2 linked regions of the Anolis sagrei genome follow. The protein of the gene in region 2 purifies or fractionates together with the protein of the main gene of each other region. This does not show direct contact. Links are inferred from orthologs where the notes say so. Each region holds a gene or a part of one and is shown on either strand. Other genes may lie near its edges.

Region 1 (8,022 bases), about 92 Mb from region 2:
TCCCCTTTTTGGGCAAGGTTCTGGAGCAAGTGGTGGCTTTTCAGCTCCAGGGATTCTTGGATTAAGCCAGTTATCTTAATTTCTCACAGTCTGGTTTTAGGCCTGGTCACATAATGAGATAGCTTTGGTCACCTAGGTGGATGACCTTCACAGAGAGCTAGGCAAGGAGACTGTGTCCTTGTTGGTTTTCTTGGACATCTCAGTGGCTTTTGATACCATCAACCATGATATCCTTCTAGGTCAGCTCTCCGAAATGGATCTTGGGGCCATTGCTCTGTAAGGGCTCTGCTCCTTCCTGAAGAATTGCTGGGGAGCTCCTGCTCGGACCCCTGGCCATTGACCTGTGGGGTCTCACAAGTTTCTATTCTATCCCCCATGCTTTTCGATATCTACATGAAGACGCTGGGTGAGGTTGTTATAGAGCTAAAATTTAGGGGTCTTTGCCAGGAGGCAGAGACCAATTAGACTCATCAAAGAGTTCTTTTTCCCTGGCGAGACAGAGAAGCATCCCATATTTTTCCCTGATTTCCCAATGAAAAGTCTCACCAGTTGAAGAAAAGCCATCGAGGTTTAATGCGATTCAGCTGGAACAGATGCAAAGCTGCAATCATTCGCCAAAGCTAAGCATGAGGGGAGTACACCAATACAGTCATATTTATAGCAAATTCAAAGTTGCAGAGTTCAAACTCCCCGCCCCGGCTTCCCTATTGTTCCCCAACGTGACTGGCCAATGGGCGAACAGCTGGGAGGCGGCTCTCCCACCTCCGGCGCCTCTGGACCAATCAGGAAGCTCAAGTGGTCCGTAGGATCCAATGGGGAGACCTCTTTTCAATTCTGGCTTTGATGGCATTGGTTCTAATGGCTTGTTCTTGGGCTGCCAGAATCAGGCCCTCCTTTGTCTCCTTTTTCAGAGTTCTATTTGTGAGCCACAGCCATGTTTTTTCTTTGTCAATTTGGCTCTCAATTTTTCCCAGGAACTGTCCATGGAGAGCCTTCTTTTACCAGTTTTCTCTTCTGCTCTGGATTGTGTTTTTACAGTATTCCCTCTTTGTCTTTTGCACTTTAAGCAGTTTACTCTATTGACTTCCCTCAATGTTGGTTCTTGACTGCCTTTCATATAATCTGCCAGGGCGTGTTTCTCTTCTTCTACTGTTTGTTTCAGAAGAGAAACACGCACTGGCAGATTATGTGAAAGGCAGTCAAGAACCAACATTGAGGGAAGTCAATTGAGGGGAGTTATTGAGGGAAGGTATTATTATTATTATTATTATTAGAGTTCTCATCCTGGGATCTTTAGAAACCATACATTTTAGGATGGGAGCAGAGGCATCTTCCCTCCAGTTAATACACGATCACAAACACATGCGCACAAACATGGAAAGTGCCACATATCATATTGCAGAACACAGCCTGGCGCTCCATATGTTAGGGAGAGATTCATTTTCAACCACTGATAGCAGATGGTAAGGCAGCCCTGTTTCCCCAGCATATCTAACCTAAAGAACAAACACCTTTCTTGGCTGATAAATCTGCTAAAGCTGTACAGGGGATGTATAAATTGTTGTTAAAATACAAAATTGAGGAAGAAGAAGTGAAAGACTGTATGGTTAAATGGATTCATAATACAGATTCAGCTGGAGCAATGGGCGATGGCCAGGACAAAGAATTTGAAACTTACTTTTGAAGTTGAAATTTGGAGAGCTAAGGATCACGGACACTGAGAGTCCATGCCCGGTGAGCTCAGCTAATTGCCAAAGTTCCCGATGAAATATGGCTCACCAGTGCTGAAGATCAGGAGAGGCTTTAATATACAATCTGCAGAAGGGATGCAATGTACAGCAAAGGATGCCAAAATATACAAGCATAAACATATGGGAATGTGCAACCATTTTATACAGAAAAGGATCCATGCATTAACACTGTCAAGGTTTGAATTTTCCCTTCCTTGCCTTGGATTGGCTGAGCGCCAAAGCTGGCTGCCTCCCTCCTCCCTCCTGATTGGCCAGGAGGCGGGGCTGGACTGGCTTGTTCTCTGATTGGTGTAGACCTTGGGATTCCCAGGTGTGCAAGTCCATAATGGTCGGGCCAAACCCAAGTCCACAGGGCACAGAGTGTTGCAATTCAGAGTAAGCTTTGCCTTGCTTCCAAACACCACCACACAAAAGCTGTAGTTTTATAGTTTGCTGAGGAAAAAGTCCAAGTCAAAATAAAGAATAAGCATTGCAAAGTTCCAAAGAGTTTGGTTAAATGCAGAATATAGTTCCAAAGATCTTCAGGTAAAAACAAGAGGCACAATCCTTTAGGCAAAGTTCAAAACAGAGTCCATGGTACAAACAGTGAAACAATTGCCCCAACAACACAAGGAGTGACTATCACTCAAAAAATATGATTTTGTCATTTGAGAGTTGTAATTGCTGGGATTTATAGGTCACCTATAATCAAAGAGCATTCTGGACTCCACCAACGATGGAATTGAACCACACTTGGCATACAGGAATCCCTTGACCATCAGAAAATATTGGAAGGGTTGTTGTAGGTTTTTCCGGGCTATATGGCCATGTTCTGGAGGAAATTTTTCTCCTGACGTTTCACTTGCATCTATGGCAAGCATCCTCAGAGGTAATGAGGTCTGTTGGAACTGGGAAAAATGGGTTTATATATCTGTGGAATGACCAGGGTGGGACAAAGGACTTTTGTTTGCTGGGGCTAGCTGTGAATGTTTCAGCTGATCACCTTGATTAGCATTCAATGGCTTGGAAGCGCCTGGGGGGAATCCTTTGTTGAGAGTGATTTCATGTGCCTGTTTGTTTCCCCTCTGTTGTTTTGCTGCTGTAATTTTAGAGTTTTTTTAATAATGGTAGCCAGATTTTGTTCATCTTCACGGTTTCCTCCTTTCTGTTGAAATTGTCCACATGCTTGTGTATTTCAATGGCTTCTCTGTGTAGTCTGACATGGTGGTTGTGAGAGTGGTCCAGCATTTCTGTGTTCTCAAATAAAATGCTGTGTCCAGGTTGGTTCATCAGGTGCTCTGCTATGGCTGATTTCTCTGGTTGGAGTAGTTTGCAGTGCCTTTCATGTTCCTTGATCCGTGTTTGGGTGCTGCATTGGGTGGTCCCTCTGTAGACTTGTCCACAGCTGCATGGTATACGGTAGACTCCTGCAGAGGTGAGAGGATCCCTCTTGTCCTTTGCTGAACGGAGCATTTGTTGGATTTTCTTGGTGGGTCTGTAGATAGTTTGTATGTTGTGCTTCCTCATCAGTTTCCCTATGCGGTCAGTGGTTCCCTTGATGTATAGCAGGAACACTTTTCCTCTGGGTGGGTCTTCATCTTTACTCTCGTGGCTTGTTCTTGGTCTTGCAGCTCTTCCGATGTCTAAGGTGGAGTCTCCATTGGCCTGGAGAACCCAGTTGAGGTGGTTCAGTTCATCTTGGAGAAGGTGGGCTTCGCAGATTCTTTTTGCACGGTCTGCCAAGGCTTTAATGGTGCTTCTTTTTTGACTTGGGTGATGGCTGGAGTTTTTGTGTAGATATCTATCCGTGTGTGTGGGTTTTCTGTAGACGGTGTGACCCAATTGTTGATCTGGTTTGCGGATGACTAGGACATCTAGAAAAGGCAGTCTTCCTTCATTTTTTTTCCATGGTGAACTGGATTTTTGGGTGGATGCTGTTAAGATGGTCCAGGAACCTGTTGAGTTCTTCATCTCCATGGCTCCAAATGGTGAAGGTGTCATCCACATATCTGAACCATATCGTGGGCTTTTTGGTTGCTGTCTCCAGGGCTTGTTTTTCAAAGTGTTCCATGTAGAAGTTAGCTATGACCGGGCTGAGAGGGCTCCCCATAGCTACTCCATCTTTCTGTTCGTAGAATTTATTGTCCCACTGAAAGTAACTGGTGGTGAGGCAATGGTGAAACAGAGCCGTGATGTCTTCTGGGAACCTCTGGTTGATGAGTGCCATGGTGTCTGCGACTGGGACCATGGTGAATAGAGATACCACATCGAAGCTGATCAGTTTGTCGTTTGTATTTAGCTTGAGATTGCTGATTTTTTCTATGAAGTGGGCTGAGTCCTTGATGTAGTGTGTGGTGAGCCCAATATAGCTTTGTAACTGTGCAGCAAGAAATTTTGCTAGGTCGTATGTGGGGGATCCAATGGCACTCACGATGGGTCTGAGTGGGGTGGAGTCCTTGTGGATTTTTGGGATTTTTGGGAGTCCATAAAGCCTAGGTGGAAGGGTTCAGCTGAAACATTCACAGCTAGCTCCAGCAGACAAGAGTCCTTTGTCTCACCCTGGTCATTCCACAGATATATAAACCCATTTTCCTACTTCCAACAGACCTCACTACCTCTGAGGATGCTTGCCACAGATGCAGGCGAAACGTCAGGAGAAATATTGCCTCCAGAACATGGCCATATACCCCGAAAAAACCCACAAGAACCTAGAACATTACATTTTTATTTATATCGATAATCGCATTATTACAATACTTTATGATTATTTTATTTGTATTATATTAGAAAATATTATCATAAAATACATACAGATCACAATACACAGTACCAAGATTAAAATGCAATGAAACAGAATGTAAATGTAATATATAACAACTGAAGCAAGAATACTCTATGCACAAAGATGGAAGGAACCATTTACCCAAAGCCTGAAGGATTCAGAGGAGGCGGGGCCTAGCTAGTTGCCGTGGCAACCTCCCACCCTAGTGAGATCTGAAGGCTTCAAAAGAAGGCGAGGCCTAGTAAGGCCTGAAGGCTTGAAGAGAAGGCGGGACTTAGTCAGTTGCCGTGGCAACCGCTCGCCCAGCCAATTCCCAAGCTCGGGCCTACTCTGTTGCCGTGGCAACCCCCCTTCCTAGTGAGTCCTTGAAGGCGGGGCCTAGCGAGACTTGAGGCTTTCAAGAGAAGTGGGGGTGGGGCTTAGTCAGTTGCCGTGGCAACCCCCTTCCCAGCCAATTACCAGCTTCGGGCCTACTCCGTTGCCGTGGCAACCTCCCGCCCTCGGCTTGCGTGACGCCTGCGCCGACTAGGCCTCGCCTCCGATTTCTTCCCGTTCCCGTTCCGGACGCGATGGGCGCCGTGGACCCTGCCTTCGTGGTGGGCTACTTGGCGGAGGTGGAAACCCTGGCCGAGGAGGTGATGGCCGGCCGGCAGCAGGTAGGCCCCAAACTGAGGCCTACTTCTCCCAAGTAGGCCCATGCCTGCCTTAGAAGGAGAGCAGGCATGGGCCAACTTGGGCCTTCCCTCCAGGCGTTTTGGACTTCAACTCCCACAATCCCTAACAGCCGGTTGTCTGTTAGGAATTGTGGGAGTTGAAGTCCAAAACGCCTGGAGGGAAGGCCCAAGTTGGCCCATGCCTGAGACTATCGAACAGCTGTAGGTTTGAAATATTCTGTGATTATTCCACTTCTTTATATATGTGTCCAGAGAAAGGCGACTCAAATGATCAAGGATCTGGAGAACAAACCCTATGAGGAGCGGCTTAAAGAGCTGGGCATGTTTAGCCTTCAAAAAAGAAGGCTGAGAGGAATTCATGATGAGGACCATCGATCAAGATGTGAGGGGAAGTCATAGGGAGGAGAGAGCAAGATTGTTTTTTTATTATTATTATTATTCACTTTATTTATACCCCGCTAACATTTCCCGAAGGACTCGGTGCAGCTTACGAGAAGCCAAGGCCAACACATCAATAAAACAACAGCATAACAAATACAACAATAAGTAAACTCATAAAGCAAATCAGTAACATTAGAATCATAGAGTTGGAAGAGACCTCATGGGCCATCCAGTCCAACCCCATTCTGCCAAGAAGCAGGAATATTGCATTCAAATCACTCCTGACAGATGGACATCCAGCCCCTGTTTAAAAGCTTCCAAAGAAGGAGCCTTCACCACACTCCAGGGCAGAGAGTTCCACTGCTGAACGGCTCTCACAGTCAGGAAGTTCTTCCTCATGTTCAGATGGAATCTCCTTTCTTGTAGTTTGAAGCCATTGTTCCCTTGCGTCCTAGTCTTCAGGGAAGCAGAAAGGAAGGTTGCTCCTTCCTACCTAAGACTTCCTCTCACATATTTATACATAGCCCTCATCCTGTCTCCTCTCAGCCTTCTCTTCTTCAGGCTAAACATGCCCAGCTCCTTAAGCCGCTCCTCATAGGGCTTGTTCGCCAGACCTTTTATCATTTTAGTCGCCCTCCTCTGGACACATTCCAGCTTGTCAATATCTCTCTTGAATTGTGGTGCCCACGATTGGACACAACATTCCAGGTGTGGTCTAACCAGAGCGGAATAGAGCATGGGGAGCATGACTTCCCTGGACCTAGACACTAGGCTCCTCTTGATGCAGGCTCTTGCATCTCCAGCAGACAAGAGTCCTTTGTCTCACCCTGGTCATTCCACAGATATAAAGCCTTTTTCCTAGTTCCAACAGACCTCACTACCTCTGAGGATGCTTGCCATAGATGCAGGCGAAACGTCAGGAGAGAATGCCTCTAGAACATGGCCATACAGCCCGAAAAAACCTACAACAACCCAGTGATTCCAGCCATGAAAGCCTTCGACAATACTCTGAATTTATTGTTTTTAAATGTTTTCATTGTTTTAATATACTTTTAAATTCTATTTCAACATTTATTTAAGTGTACGTTGCATATTAAGACATCGAATTGTTGCCTGTATGTAAAACTGCCTTGATTTCCCTCCAGGATGAGAAAGGTGGGGTAGCAATGTCATAAATAAATAAATAAATAATAGGTAGAAGCATCCTTTTCTTCATTCTGTACTCCTTCCAGCTTCCCTCCCTCTGTCTCCCTCTCTCTCTTCATGAAGACAAACAAAACGGGAATAAAAACCACACAAAATCAACTGACTCAAAAGTTCCTCAAAGCGGACAAGAGCAAAGCAGACAGCAATCTCCCAAAGTGGACAAGAGCACAAGTCAGGAGGGCTGCTCCCTTGAAGCCCTAAGACCCGTCGCAAACTAGGCTCCTGCGGGAGCAAACCTTGCCAGCATGTCCCTGATGTCATGAGACTGCGCCTCTCTCTCCACCTCTTTCTCAGCCTCTTTCTCCGTGCCAGAGTGGTTTTTCCTTTGCTAGGGCAGCATTGCCAGCATACTCTCTCAGTTGAATTCTGCCAACTGAGAGAGTACGCTGGCAATGCTGCCCTAGCAAAAGAGAAACCACTCTGGCACGGAGAAAGAGGCTGAGAAAGGGGCGGGGCGAGAGGCGCAGCCTCATGACGTCAGGGACGTGCTGGCAAGGTTTGCTCCCGCAGGAGCCTAGTTTGCGGCGGCGGCTGTAAAGCCCTGTACTCTGGTGCTAGCGCCCCCTCTGGCACTAGCTCTTAACTCAAAATGCTGCTCTTATGTCAAAGCAAAACCAGGCCAGGGGAATAGCTCTTAACTTAAAACACTCTTAAGTTGGGACACTCTTAAGTTGAGGTTCCACTGTATATAAAATTAAAACTGCTACATCTAATAAACTAGATCCAAGACGATCATCCTAACATAAAACGCTTCAAATAATAAAAACATACTAGATAGACAACTATTGAATCTTGCACTCTTTGTCTGTTGATTTTCACTCCTTGTTATCCTATTCCCTTTAGATAGCACTGTATATCCACACTTCTACTTTTAAGAACACTCCTCTAATTCATAAACCCAGTCGTTGATGTTTGCTCCCATCTTCCTTAAGGTTCATAAAAGATTTCTGCTTAATCCAAAGAGAATAGTTTCATTAAATCGGTAAAAATCAACCCTGAAAATGTGGAGGGCTGACTGCTCCATTTGGCTTTTAGGGAGAATTCAGTCCTGATTTGTGTTATTTGCCTTTTTGGCAGTCCGCAATATCTGCAGAACTCTTTTCATTGCTACCATAAAAAAGGCGACAATCCCATAGCAAAAGGACTTGGACATTTGTCTGGATTGCAGAAGGGCATAGACCAGTGTTTCTCAACCTGGGGGTTGTGAGGGAGTGTCAGAGGGGTTGCCAAAAGCCACCAGAAAACACAG
Region 2 (7,465 bases):
GGAATCCTCCTAAGTTGCATCAACTAAAACTGAATCACCCCTTTTGCTCTTGTGAAATGAGTCAAAGGGCCAGTCTGCAAGAAACAATACATTACAGTGTATTATTATGGATAAGGAGAGCCAATGGACCAGCAAACATGTAGCAAAACATTACAGTGTGTTATTATGTACGATGAGAGCCGATGGACCAGTATGCCTGTAACAATATATTACTGTTAATTATTATGTGCCAGAATATTGGCTTCTTTGGTGCCAAACTCTCCCTCTCCTCCTAGCTTGGCTGCAAGGAGAAAGGAAAGCTTAATCTCATTTTCTAAAGTTTGCCATAGTGCACAAAACCTACAATGTTTAATCTGAGCAATGATTTGTTGAAACTATCTTCTTAATCCTAAATCTGATGTTTGCTAATTTCAGTAAACCACAGTTAAGATTTAACACAATTTTTCCAGGTTAGAGAGAGAACTAAATTATGCAGAGCTTGATTTCCTCTCCTTGATCACATTGGATGAAAGCAGAGGCAGGACAAAGAGGTGGCAAGAACACTACATAGTTTTAACCCATGCCGGGGGCCAATATAGTATATACCAGTGGTTCTCAACCTGTGGGTTCCCAGATGTTTTGGCTTTCAACTTCCAGAAATCCTAACAGCTGGTAAACTGGCTGGGATTACTGGGAGTTGTAGGCCAAAACATCTGAGGACCCACAGGTTGAGAACCACTGGCATATACTATCAGATTCAAAACTGCGGATATCCAGGCTCACATCCTTACTCACAAAGCAACCCTGTAGACATTTTAAATCAGTTTTGAATTTGTAACACAGGAAGATAATGAAAATGGGCGAAAAAAGCAAGTACTGGATAATTTTCAGGAAGAAATGCATTTTAAATTTCAAAAAATTACAGAAAAAGAACCAACACATACACCACTCACAGACTCTTACATTCTGCAGCCTATTTCGACAGATGGGGTAGCCACACAGTTTGACGATAAACCGCTCTTCCACAACATCTTTATAGTGAGAAGGTGTAATGAACTTCCCCTGAAAAGAAATAAACAGATTTGCCTTGAAATGTGGGTTTTCATGGATGAGCAGGGATACAAAGAAGCGGTGTGTAAAACAGTAGAAAGGAAGATTAGGAGGGGAGTCATTTGGGTTCGACAAAACAAGTTCAATTTCTGTTTTGGGAAGAATCTTCATGAAAACAGAATGGGTGGACGGACTCAAAATTGGAAACAAAAACAGAACAGATTTCTCCTGTTTCACACATCTCTAATTTACAAACCTTGGACTACAGTTGTTTTAGTCAATGCTCAAGCCTCTACCTCACGCTGAGTCTCCCTTTGGAATATGTCCTATAGGAAATGGGAAACCTTGCAGTCCTCCAAATGCTGTGAATTAAACTTTTAGAAGCACGAACCAGCCTAGACAATAGTGGGAAATGCTGACAACAGCAGCCCAAGGTCATTGAGAAGAGGACTTCTTAAACTTTTCCACTTGTGACACCTTTTGGCCCAATACAGTTTTACACAGCCCTGGGTAGATAAAACTGGTATAAAAATCAAACATTTCCTTTTGCAGAGTCTGCTGTAAATGCTGCACAACAGATTCATGTACATGTCTAAAACAGCAACTAGGTGACATTCAGAAAATGTTTACATTTGCCAATTTTTTCAGGACCCCCACATTGAGCTATGGGGACCTAGTTTGGAGACCCCAGTTTAAGAAGCAGTGATTGAGAGGGTTATATGATTCCCAGATAATTCACATTATCTGCTTTGAACTGGATTACATGAATCTACACTGCCAGATAATCCAGTTCAAATCAGATAATCTGGATTTTATATGGCAGTGTAGAAGGGGCCATAGACTGCCAAGCTAACACACATCTATGGTGCCTCTCCAAAGATTGATAAACTATCTTTGGAAAGGAACCATTAACTGCATAACAAGCTATAGGAGACCTTGACACATTTAAACTAAATATTTTATATAAATCTGCAACAAGACGACATACACAATTTGTGAGGAATTCTTCAGTGATATCGTCTTCTAAGAGGCGTTCAACCACCTTCAAGGCTTTTCGCTCATGCGCAATCTTCTTTCGAATAGCAGCTTCAAGTGCTGCTTTCCTACAAGGGGAAAAAATAGTGGTGTGACCCACATTTTGGCAATTCATATGAAGTTGCTTAAGAAACAAGTGGGTACGAACAGATCCAGCGCAAAACATTTGATGCCTGAAGCAAAGAACACAATGGCACCCACTTTTCATTTCAAACTGTGCCAGCTGGACTAAAGACCTGCCAGTCTTTAATAGGTTAAACAGGGCAGAATATGTGTCTCAAAGAGAAGGGAATATCAGAAAGTCATGAGAAACATCTAAAAGCCCTCAAATAAAAAGAAATACATTACAATGCATGCGCAAAACCACACACACATATATATAGATACCCAAATACACACACACAAAACACAAATACACAGATTTGGCCACAGCAATGTGTGGCAGGGGACAGCTAGTTGATTCATAAACCTTTTGAAGGATTTACAAAATAGATATAAACACATAATGCAACCAAACAGTTATTCTGAGAGACAGGATACCTTTGTGCAGCATCTTCATTTGTCAGGACACTGGGCTGTTTATTACCTAAGAGGAACAACCAAAAATACAGGGAGATGACAAACCACATGAAATCACATGATCAATTCAAGCTTTTGTAGGAACAGAGTGGGAACCCGCTGTTTGCTTAGGGAGAAACTTGCCCTTATAAAACTACAACTCCCACGATTCCATAGCACTGAGCCCTGGCAGTTCAACTATATTATTCCTACAGTAGTATAGGAATAATCACAGCTATAGAGCATCTCCCATCCCTAGAAAGCCACCCCCTTGGAAGATAGGATTGGTTTCGCCTCCACATATTGAGGAAGGGAGAAGGAACAGTCCATGTGATGAAAAGGGGGGGGGATAGATACAAACAGCTGCGTTTACCCGGGCGCCGGCGCTGCCTCCTGGCCTTGGAGCCGCTGCGGGTCCTCTCTTCCGCCATCGCTGCCGGGAAAGACCTCTAACCCCTCACTGCGCCTGCGTTGTTTGGGAAAGGGGCGTGGCTTCTCCCAAAGGGGCGTGGCCTGAGAATAGTCATGAGGCCGTGCTGGTAGACCGGTCTCTTTGGAAAGAGGGAAGGCGGAGGTAAGAGGAGGGAGTCTTGCTGCAGGTTGGGGTCACAGGCGGGAGGGCGCCAGGGAGGAGGGACAGCCCAGGTCTAAGGCATAGTAGTTTAGGAGGGATTCACTCTTTGTCTTTCGTTTCTAGGGTTCAGAGAGGCTCCCAAGTGAAGCCTGGAAAGGAGTTGCAGCCTTCTTTCACTTCCAAGGCTGGTGCAAGGGGAGTCTCCCTTCTCTGAAATGCTATGGGAGCCTGGGAGTTGTAGTTTGGAGGGAAAAATAAAGACCCTGTGAAACTACAACTCTCAGGATTCCATTGACAGGAAAGGCCTAAGGCCTTGTGAAACTACAATTCCCAGGATTTCTTTGGCAGGGAATGCTAAAGGCCTTGTGAAACTACAACTCCTATGATTCCTTTGACAGGGAAGTCTAAAGGCCTTGTGAAACTACAATTCCTAGGATTCATTTGGCAGGGACGGCCAAAGGCCTTGTGAAACTATAACTCCCAGGATTCATTTAGCAGGGAAAGCCAAAGGCCTTGTGCAACTATAACTCCTAGGATTCCTTTGGCAGGGAAGGCTAAAGGCCTTGTGAAACTATAACTCCCAGGATTCATTTAGCAGGGAATACCAAAGGCCTTGTGCAACTATAACTCCCAGGATTCCTTTGACAGGGAAGGCTAAAGGCCTTGTGAAACTATAACTCATAGGATTCATTTAGCAGGGAAGGCCAAAGGCCTTGTGAAACTATAACTCATAGGATTCCTTTGGCAGGGAAGGCTAAAGGCCTTGTGAAACTATAACTCCCAGGATTCATTTAGCAGGGAAGGCCAAAGGCTTTGCGAAACTACAACTCATAGGATTCATTTTTGCAGGGAAGGCTAAAGGCCTTGTGAAACTACAACTCCCAGGTTTCCATAGCATTGAGCCAGGGCAGTTACAGAGGTATCAAACTGCATTAATTATATAGTGTAGAAGCACCTGGGATGTATAGTCCCCCCCCCCCCCCAATGTACACACTTTTAACAGCTAATAATAGCTATGGAGATTATAGACTATAACGGAAACCTTTACCTTTATGGAGATTATTTGGATGTTAAATATATATGTTTATATTGAAGATGAAATGTTATACTAATTAGCTAAAGTTATAGATTCCATTTTAGAGTACGTTTACTTGTTCCTTGTGTGCCTCCCAATTCGTTTCAGACCTATGGAGAACCATTCACTGGGTTTGTACAGGAAGGTTTGTTCAGAAGTTATTTGCCTTGGTCTTCTGAGGCTGAGAGAGCATGACTTGCCCAAGGTTACCCAGAGGGTTTCTATGGCTGAGTGGGAATACGAACCCCGGTCTCAGAGTCATACTCCAATGCTGAAACCATAGAAGGAGTTCAAATTCATGTGCGAGCGCAGCCATGCAATGACCCCATGGTCAAAGCATAGAGTTGCACATTTCATTTGAGGTTTCACTACTAATTGTGCACCACATTGGAATCTTTGATCTTGTTAAGGATGTACTGGCAGTCCCCGAGTTACAAACATCTGACTTATAGACGACTCCTAGTTAAGAATGGGGGTGAGACAACAGGAAGTGAGAGAAATCTACTCCTAGGAAGGGAAATTCACTCCTGGAAGAGTTAGCATGGGGAAAACGTGTCTCCCCTGAAGCTTTATCACCAGTCCTTGTTTCCACAACAAGTCATATTTTTCACAATCCAATTCTCACAGGGACAGAAAGTGCTGTGAAATCTTCTGAACAGGGGAACAGACAGCAAAAGAAACACCATGGGCGTGTCAACCTTTCCCTATGCTAACCAAAGATAGGTAGATAGATATATATATCTCTGGAGTTGCACTTAATAAAATGTACCTGTTCTGACTTACATACAAATTCAACTTAAGAACAAACCTGCAGAACCTATCTTGTTTGTAACTTGGGGACTGTACACATTTTAATGCACCCTCCCCCTCTGTTATAAGCGGTTAAGGGTGTATACTTTTTATAGTTAAAGAGTAATTGCCCTTGAGCATGTGCAGAGTACTTTTTATCTATGTTGTATGGCAGTGGTTCTCAACCTGTGGGTCCCAGATGTTTTTGCCTCCTAACAGCTGGTAAACTGGGATTTCTGGGAGTTGTACGCCAAAACACCTGAGGACCCACAGGTTGAGGACCAATGTTGTATGGTCTCTGGTAGATTTGAACACTTTTTCAATCTCCTTCTAGCTACATAAATGGTCTTCCTTTAAGGAAACAATTAAAATGTTATTTATTGTGTCAGGAGCAACCAGACATTTGTATTACATTTTTAACAAAACAAGCAGACAAAACAGAAAGTTTGCAAGCTTGGTAGTTGATTAAATGTCCTTTGACCAGTATCTGGCCATTTGGAGTGCCTCTGGTGTTACCGCAAGGAGGTCCTCCATTGTGCTTGTGGCGGGGCTCAGGTTGCATTGCAGCAGGTGGTCAGTGGTTTGCTCTTCTCCACACTCGCATGCCGTGGATTCCACTTTGTAGCCCCATTTCTTAAGGTTGGCTCTGAATCTCGTGGTGCCAGAGCGCAGTCTGTTCAATGCTTTCCATGTTGCCCAGTTTTCTGTGTGCCCAGGGGGGAGTCTCTCATTTGGTATCTGCCATTGATTGAGGTTCTGGGTTGGAGCCTGCCACTTTTGGACTCTCACTTGCTGAGATGTTCCAGCGAGTGTCTCTGTAGATCTTAGAAAACTATTTCTTGATTTAAGTCGTTGACATGCTGACTGATACCCAAACAAAGGATTGGTCCTTTCACTATTGGTTGCTACTTCCCGGCGGATGTCAGGTGGTGCGATACCGGCTAGACAGTGTAATTTTTCCAGTGGTGTAGGGCGCAGACACCCTGTGATAATGCGGCATGTCTCATTAAGAGCCACATCCACTGTTTTAGTGTGGTGAGATGTGTTCCACACTGGGCATGCATACTCAGCAGCAGAGTAGCATAGCGCAAGGGGAGATGTCTTCACTGTGTCTGGTTGTGATCCCCAGCTTGTGCCAGTCAGTTTTCGTATGATATTGTTAATTGACAATTAAAATAATTTTTAAAGAAGGGGTTATGTTAGCCTGTTGTAGCATAACAAGAAGAAAAGCGAGGGAAAGGGTTGGGGGAAATCTAGCCACACTTTTTAAGATTAGTTTTTATTTTAGCATCCGTTTTTGTGGGTCAATGTCTACACAAAAAAGAAAGTTATAAACTAGAAATGTATCTTACAGGTGCTGCCAGATTCCTTTAATGTCCTGTTCAACTCCCTTTCCCCTGTTTTGCACGTTAAAGACCACTTGCTAGAGACTTTTTCTGGCCCCACAAAGCAGATAGCTTCCAAATACTACAATGTGCTCTTTGCTTCGCTTCCTCTTTGCCTGCTCTTACTTGGCTGTAACTTTACTTCTTTCTTGAATGGGATGAGAATAAGAAAATAAAAAATCTCCAAAAGGATTAATATGTAAAAGAAAACAATCTTCATGGTGGTGGGAATTGTAAATGTTGTGTATGTCCTAAAATAAAAAAAATATTAAAAAAATAAATTAATAGAAAGTTTATGTATACATCCTGGCTTTTAAAAGTCAGAGTATTTCAGAGCACTTTATTGCCCCTCAGCAGAACTGCTTCCTATAATATGCTTAATGGCCAGCTGTAAAGCTCTTAACTATACTTAATCAGAAGGTGTCCTTTTTAATTCTCATTAAACTAGGGTTGCCCTTTAAAACATTCTGGTAAATGGCAATGCAACACGTTTAGAGTATCTTGTTGAGTCCCACTTTCTGTTGTATTATAATTCAATAATATTTTGTCATTTAGGATTTTTGCAGTTCCCTTTTGGTACCTAAAGGTTTTGGCACAGATAATATAATCTGTTATTAAAACGATCTAATCCCTATTCTAGGAAATTCTTCACAATATATTTCATAGTACAGATACACATTGTGTAGTGTATAAGTTCATGGACTGGAAGATTTCAAATTTGATTTTAAGAGGTTTCCTTCTCACCATCTCTTGTAGAGTGAAGCGTAATCTTCAAGATACAGCTGAGTGAGGCTTCAAGCATCCTTCACCATTAGCTGTGTTGTTAAGGTTGGTGGGAGGTGAAGTCCAAAATAATTCAAAGGGCTGCAGTTTCTTGACCTGATTGATTCCTAACTTTACTAAATACCCTTTTCATGCTTTGTTCTTATAAGATATCTTAATGATTTAAAAAAAAGGTTCTGCCAGTTTTGCAATATATTTAAAGTGTATCTCATTCAATTCTATTTTAAAAAATTGTAA

Evidence for each region.
Region 1: the proteins of RPAP2 (region 2) and PDRG1 purify together in Homo sapiens (affinity purification with mass spectrometry; 3 studies listed by BioGRID and IntAct, with this or other methods). This does not show direct contact. The link is inferred for Anolis sagrei from reciprocal best matches to the Homo sapiens genes RPAP2 and PDRG1.

Annotation. Positions count from the first base shown.
Region 1 is NC_090024.1:242,559,303-242,567,324, reverse strand, and holds the start of PDRG1 (p53 and DNA damage-regulated protein 1), read left to right. Parts: upstream 1-4,931; 5' UTR 4,932-5,081; coding exon 5,082-5,168; intron 5,169-8,022. UniProt on the Homo sapiens protein: May play a role in chaperone-mediated protein folding.
Region 2 is NC_090024.1:150,132,231-150,139,695, forward strand, and holds the start of RPAP2 (putative RNA polymerase II subunit B1 CTD phosphatase RPAP2), read right to left. Parts: upstream 3,089-7,465; 5' UTR 3,054-3,088; coding exon 2,996-3,053; intron 2,651-2,995; coding exon 2,605-2,650; intron 2,133-2,604; coding exon 2,018-2,132; intron 1,042-2,017; coding exon 943-1,041; intron 1-942.